Neurospora crassa OR74A: one gene and its partner. The protein of the gene in region 1 purifies or fractionates together with the protein of each later gene. This does not show direct contact. Links are inferred from orthologs where the notes say so. Each region holds a gene or a part of one and is shown on either strand. Other genes may lie near its edges.

Region 1 (4,348 bases):
CCAACGAGGAGTCCGAGGAGCAGGTCTTCAAGATGCGCGCCAAGCTTTTCAAGTTCGTCAAGGAGGCCAGCGAGTGGAAGGAGCGCGGTACCGGTGACGTCCGTCTCCTCAAGCACCACGAGAATGGCAAGACCCGTCTCGTCATGCGCCGCGACAAGACCCTCAAGGTCTGCGCCAACCACTACAGTAAGCAACACCCTACTCTATTGAAGCTGTTCTTGAATGAAGCTTGCTAACCATACGATTCTACTAGTCGTTCCTGAGATGAAGCTTTCCCCCAACGTTGGTTCCGACCGCAGCTGGGTGTGGAACGCCGCTGCCGATGTTTCCGAGGGTGAGCCCGAGGCCGTCACCCTCGCGATCCGCTTTGCCAACTCCGACAACGCCAACGCTTTCAAGGATGCCTTTATCAAGGCCCAGAAGGACAACGAGGCTCTCTTCAAGGCTGCCGAGGAGGCCGCCGAGAAGAAGGAGGCTGAGGAGGATTCCGAGGACGAGAAGGCCGAGTAGATGTGTGGTCTAGTTTTGCATGAATTTGAAGTTGCTTTAGGGAAAGTTTTTCAACCACCCCGTTCTATTTTCCGTTTTGCTAGGTGTTAGAGGGGACGATGACATTACTACCTCCATGGGCTGGGCGATGGAATGAATGAAAGGACCGCTACAGAAGTTATGACGATGATGATTCCTAGGCTAGAGAGCTGGTACATGGGCAGCGTGTGCGAGAACAAAAGGTTGAAGTATCCGACATGAAAGCACTATTCAGGTGTGCGTTTGACGAGATTTCAATATACTGGTAACATACTGCGACGGCCCTTTTGCAACTATGGCTGGCAAGGAGGATGAGGATGGGGATTACTCTTAAGGGATCTAAATAACCTTTAGCTTAACCAACAGTTTTAGATAGAACAACTCACTACCCTTCACACCGATGCATTGCCTTTGGGGGTTTTTGATCAAGTTCTTGTACACACAACCTCGCCTCGTCATACCTGGCTGACGGCTTAGCACGATGGTCCACCAAAACATGAGACGAATCTGATGGACTGGCTAGCTGACGGAAACCTGAGCCTGTCTTGAAAGAAACACAAATACTGAATTCCGTTTGCCAAGTCGTCCGTGACGCGGTCTGGCGACGACCGTATAAAAAATCTGGTTGTTTTGCGGTTTTGGAGGTTTCTTCTCTTCTTGACTACCTTACGGCGAGCTGACGACGATCCTCTTCTTCGCCAGCGGTCTCTCACTACTCTTCTCCCGACGACGCAAAATCACATCTTGGAGCAATTTACTTCAAGATTTCAGGGTCTACTTCAGCATCACCGTCGTCTTTGACAACTTCTTTCCAAGACTTCTGCTTTCTCGATCATCGCGATATTTCGATTAGAGTGGTGATATCTTCGTTCACCTAGGTGAGCTCACCTTGCTTACATCCACGGTGAGGGGTAGAGGAATGCCGGCAAAGCGAGCTGACGCTCACTGCATCACAGCGCACCAGCCACAGCACGCACAGCGGTACCTCACTGAGTGCTAGCGACGGGACAATGGTCGACTTCAGCCATGGTTACGGTTTTGACTATGGCGGCGCCGCGACGCCTCCGTTCGCGAATGACGAAGGTATGTCCCGCTTGAACCAACTTCATCGGAGTGTACATATATTGCACAGTGACCCAAATTCCCAACCATCCAAGTCGCATCAGCACCATAACTCAGTAAAAACCTTCCCACATTGCCTTGCTTGAACACTCCCTTGAGCATTTTTCAACCCAAGGCCATCAGAGAGGAGACACGCTCTTAACCTTAGCCCCTCTTCACGATCACGATCGCGTTCCCATCCAACTTTTGCCTATCCCAATTTGTACGCTATACACCTTAGAGCTACGTTATCCCCATCATTATCCCTGGTTCCCAACCGCACGCCACGGCCCGCCGCGGTACCTTTACCCCTCCGTAACGGACGACCTTATTCTCTACCGCTACAAAGCCCAACTCTAGCAGCGCGACGGAATCTGCGACACACCAACACATACAACACACCAAACACTATAGAGCCCATTGCCAGACAGCCCAACGGATACAACAACGTCGTACATCCTCGAATCCTTGCTCTTCCTCAAGAGCCCGAACGCCACTGTCTTACTACTGTCCTGTACTCGAGACACCGACCGAACGCCGATTGTCAAAAGAGTGCTGTTCGAGTACTAGGACACGAGCAAGTGAAGAGAAGTACACAAAGCTAACCGCGGGAATCCATCCAATTTCTGGGAAGCAGAGGGCCTTGAGGATCGGTCGGACGTTCCCAGTAGTGCTAGTAAGAATACTCGAACCAAAGCTACTAGAAGGAATCCGAAGCGGGTTCCAGGCGCAAACAAGATGATCGTCGAGGTTAGTTTCCGGATTCCCAGTCCAGTGTGGTTGGTAGCTTGCGCAAACAGGGTGACCACTGTAGCGGCATACAGAACAGGTGCAGAGGCAGGGAAAGGAAAGGCCCTAGGAGGAGAACGTTCCGGGATAGCTGTTGTTCGGGAAATGGATTCGACGGCTAACGTGGGTTTATTTGTCTACAGCGCAAGATCAAGGTTGTCACAGAACAACACAATATCAACAAGCCGGCGGCACAGGAGGGCTACCCCATGAAGGAGTGGACGGTCGAGCTCTATATTCTCGACCAAGATGGCAAGGAGAGGCCCGCCAGGTGCTTCACGAAGGTGACCTACAACCTTCACCCTTCGTTCGCGAACCCTATCCAGAGTAAGTAGACACCGGAGCGGCCGCCGGTCACCTCTCCCCATCTCTGTTGTGTCTCGAGAGCCAGAGGTTGGCTAACGCGTCGCAAATTCAGCTTTCAACGATCCTCCCTTCAAATGCACCAACGAGGGCTGGGGTGAATTTGAGATGATCATCGATATGTACACCACCGAGAAAGGCGGCAAGATCTCGATCGCGCACGACCTGAACTTCCAGCAATCAGAGTACGAAAACATCCATACCGTCACCTTCCGTAACCCATCTCAGGCGCTCCAGCAGCTCCTGAGAGAGACGGGTCCCTTGCCCTCGGACGAGGAGCGCAAGCAGAAGAAGGCGGTGGACGGCGGTTCCAAGAAGAAGCGGCCCTACGACATCGAGCGTATGGCGGATGGCTTGACGAAGCTGGGCGAGGATGACCTCCTGCAGGTCATTCAGATGATCCACGATCACAAGGATGACAATACGTACATCCAGAACAACCTCGATGGTAAGTTTGCCCGCTAGGGAGTGTGGCCCCTGGAGGCAACACGAGCTGATGGCTGACTGGACATGTCTATAGCGGGCGAGTTCTCGGTGGATCTCTACACTCTTCCTGACAACCTCATGAAGATGCTCTGGGAGTTCTTGGTAAGTTGTTCTTCCCATTCTTTTGCCCCCTCAATCGGATCCTTCTGTAGCTAAATCGCTAATATTACCACAGGTCAAAGCCAACGTAGTCTCATAGTACGACTTCCTTGGTCCAAGTAACCTACAGTAGTCGATGGCCATCGATTTACGAAGTCATCAGGGACGGGAACATTCTTCCTTACTAGATCGCAGTGCGCACCATACCATACCCAGTACACCACCACCCTCTTTATTCACTATTATTGATCCCTTGACACTTCCATCCACATCAACATCAACCACCTTCACCATCATGCCATTGTAGCCTTAGGCTTCTTCGGCTCCTGCATTACCGTGGCGTTTATGGAGTTATGGTGGGATACGCAAAAAGCAAAAATTGAGAAAGATTCAAGAGCTTCTCTTGACAAAATTTGTGCTTGATTTGATCTTCCAGATTTCTTTCTTTGCGTGATATTCGATGGTCTAGGGTGTGTTCCGTTGAACCGTTTCCTTTCTGCCGGTGGGATCGTTGCCTTGATTGGTGGTGTCTGCTCGTGAGGACTGCTCTTCACTGGAAGGGAGTGGCATCGCTAATCAGTTTGTGCTTTGGGCGGACCTTGAACCTTATCATGTGCAAGGTTTGCCCCTCTAGGTAGGATCGTCATAGGGAAATTTGAGACTGTTTATTGGAAAGAAAGGTTCGGGAAAGGATGGGTAAGAGGTAGAAAGGAGGTATGTAATAGATCCCACGCCCATGGAATTCGGAAGGGAAAGAGAAGCGGTTATGTTGTAGGCGGTACCTAGTTCTCGATCACGGTCTCTCTACGTTGCTCGTCGTATGGCGGTATTAGAAGCAGAGAACATGCTGTATGGTTTAGTTTACACAGTTCAGGGTATGGAGCAGCAGTAACTGTCCGTTCGCCTTAGTCTCCGTGTCTCCTGTGCCTGGACTAGAGCGCTATAGATCTGCCAGCACCCTGCCAGATAGCCATCTTTTTCA
Region 2 (2,872 bases), on another chromosome or scaffold:
AAAGGGTCAGCTCATCCTTACCAAGGAGCATATCAGGCGCCTTGAGCAGGATAAGGAGCTTGGCAAATACCATGAGGATTACTTTGGCTGGCAAGGCCTGCTCGAGTCAGGTGCTATCGAATACCTCGACGCCGAGGAGGAAGAGACGGCCATGATCTGCATGACGCCAGAAGATCTGGACACTTACCGTCAGCACAAGTTCAAGGGTCGCGAGTTTGAGGACGACGCCGCCAACCGTGGCAATAGCCGTATCAAGACAAAATTCAACCCGACAACACACATGTACACGCACTGCGAGATTCACCCCAGTATGCTTCTCGGTATCTGCGCCAGTATCATTCCTTTCCCCGATCACAACCAGTCGCCCAGAAACACTTACCAGTCTGCCATGGGTAAGCAAGCTATGGGCTTCTTCCTTACCAACTACTCCCGACGTATGGATACCATGGCCAACATTCTTTACTACCCTCAAAAACCACTGGCGACCACCCGCTCTATGGAATATCTCAAGTTCCGTGAGCTTCCTGCCGGTCAGAACGCCATTGTTGCCATCGCTTGTTACTCTGGTTACAACCAGGAAGATTCCGTCATTATGAACCAGAGCAGTATCGACCGTGGTATCTTCCGCAGTCTTTTCTTCCGTTCCTACACGGATTGCGAGAAGCGTGTCGGCATCAACATCGTGGAGCAATTTGAGAAGCCAGATAGAAGCAACACCCTGCGGCCCAAGCACGGCACGTACGACAAGCTTGAGAATGATGGTATCATTGCTCCTGGCATAAGAGTCACCGGTGACGACATCATCATCGGCAAGACATCTCCCATCAACCCCGATAACCAAGAACTTGGCCAGCGCACGGCTCAGCACGTCAAGCGCGACGCGTCCACGCCGCTGCGCAGCACGGAGAGTGGTATCGTCGATTCCGTGGCCTTTACAACCAACCAGGATGGTTTGCGCTACGTAAAGGTCAGGGTTCGTACGACAAAGATTCCCCAGATTGGTGATAAGTTTGCGTCTCGTCACGGTCAAAAGGGTACCATTGGTGTTACTTACCGTCAAGAGGATATGCCGTTTACCGCCGAGGGTATCACGCCTGATATTATCATCAACCCTCACGCCATTCCTTCGCGTATGACAATTGCCCATTTGATCGAGTGTCTGCTGTCCAAGGTCGGTGCGCTCAAGGGCATGGAGGGTGATGCCACCCCCTTCACGGATGTCACGGTCGATTCCGTCTCCAACCTCCTCCGCGAGCACGGCTACCAATCCCGTGGCTTTGAAATCATGTACCACGGCCATACCGGCAAGAAGCTTCGCGCCCAGGTGTTCTTCGGTCCTACGTACTACCAGCGTTTGAGGCATATGGTGGACGACAAGATCCACGCTCGTGCTCGTGGTCCGGTGCAGATCATGACTCGTCAGCCCGTCGAAGGTCGTGCCAGAGACGGTGGTCTCCGTTTCGGTGAAATGGAACGTGACTGTATGATTGCTCACGGTGCCGCTGCCTTCTTGAAGGAGAGATTGTTCGAGGTTTCGGATGCTTTTAGAGTGCACATTTGCGAGATTTGCGGTCTCATGACTCCCATTGCGTATGTACCTCCTCTTCCCTTTTGATGGGTCCGTGTGATGCTAACAGTTCGTCTGCAGAAACCTCACCAAGCAATCGTTCGAATGCCGTCCTTGCAAGAACAAGACCAAGATCGCCCAGGTCCACATGCCCTACGCGGCCAAGCTTCTGTTCCAGGAGCTCATGTCGATGAACATTGCCTCGCGCTTGTTCACCAGCCGGTCCGGCATCTCGGTTCGTTAAGGGTAGTCGTGGGTTCCCCGGGGGGTTGGTTGGTGCGGAAAGGCTCGGTTATAATATCACGGTTTTTTCTTATCATGGTCCTTGTACATGGCATGGCATTTATAGGCACTGGCAAAAGAGAAGCGGTTCTTTCTTTACATGCTGGGGCTGGTAGATGTGCTGTGGGATCCAAAGGAGACGGAAGGAATGAGGAATCAAGAAGGACGACAATGAGAGAGACAAAAAGTTGCATAGAAATGGTCGTTCTGGCGTTCAATGATTGAAGATTGCAATTTGCAAGCAAGTTTCGCAAAGTTATCCAGGCTGTCTCTGTGCGCATTTGCGAGGGAAGAGGGAGTGGCTCAGTTTTCACGCGCAAAGTTACTACTTACTATACATTTATCAAAAAATATCACTATCCTGGTGTGTTCGCAAACTTGACATTGGAGGCACATACACATCAAGTACCCTCGAAACAATTCCTTATGAATGTCCAATACAATAATAAGTACAAGATGCCAGTCTGCTTCCAAGCAGAGACGTAATAATACAAGTGTTATACAGTTTATGACTGCTGTCCCTCAAGGATTCCAGCCGCAGACTTCCACCCTGAAGGAAGCCGCCAAGCTCATCCCCGTAAACAGTCAAGACCGACATATTGAGCACGTCGGTCTACCAGATAAAGCCATGAGGGCAGCCGCACCATCTGGCTATCCGTACGCCGACAAGCGTACCTCTTGGCCTTCGGAAAAGGCACCGCTCGCTAGCTAGGAAAGAAGGCGGCGTTTCTGCTCGTCTTCTTGACTCTCTATAGGTAGCCCAGGTGTACCTCGCTGTCCTCACTTTGGGTCCGCTGGGTCGGAACCTCCTCCCCTCTCTAGCTCGTAGTCAACGAGCGGACCATCGGTATAGCCAGTCCCTCCTCTTTATCTCTTTCTTTTTTCCCTCTCAGCTACCACACCTCCTCCTCATTTCTCCCCCGTCCCTGTCCCTGTCCCAATGGCCCCTCCAACAGGTATACTACCCGCCGCACTCGGCCTCGGCAGTCCTGCCGTTAGGGCGTTAGGTTTCGTAGGTACCGG

The links. The genes of interacting proteins can lie anywhere in the genome.
Region 2: the proteins of NCU00444 (region 1) and NCU05120 purify together in Saccharomyces cerevisiae (affinity purification with mass spectrometry; 6 studies listed by BioGRID). This does not show direct contact. The link is inferred for Neurospora crassa OR74A from reciprocal best matches to the Saccharomyces cerevisiae genes TAF14 and RPB2.

Annotation. Positions count from the first base shown.
Region 1 is NC_026503.1:3,880,054-3,884,401, forward strand, and holds the start of NCU00444 (transcription initiation factor TFIID subunit 14), read left to right. Parts: upstream 1-1,536; 5' UTR 1,537-2,367; coding exon 2,368-2,379; intron 2,380-2,561; coding exon 2,562-2,745; intron 2,746-2,836; coding exon 2,837-3,229; intron 3,230-3,301; coding exon 3,302-3,369; intron 3,370-3,442; coding exon 3,443-3,466; 3' UTR 3,467-4,348. Other genes in the region: NCU00443 (ran-specific GTPase-activating protein 1), read left to right, coding at 1-186, 254-510. UniProt on the Saccharomyces cerevisiae protein: Functions as a component of the DNA-binding general transcription factor complex TFIID, the RNA polymerase II associated general transcription factor complex TFIIF, and the chromatin-remodeling complex SWI/SNF.
Region 2 is NC_026506.1:3,688,564-3,691,435, forward strand, and holds the end of NCU05120 (DNA-dependent RNA polymerase II RPB140), read left to right. Parts: coding exon 1-1,590; intron 1,591-1,648; coding exon 1,649-1,811; 3' UTR 1,812-2,263; downstream 2,264-2,872. Other genes in the region: NCU05119 (hypothetical protein), read right to left, coding at 2,759-2,872.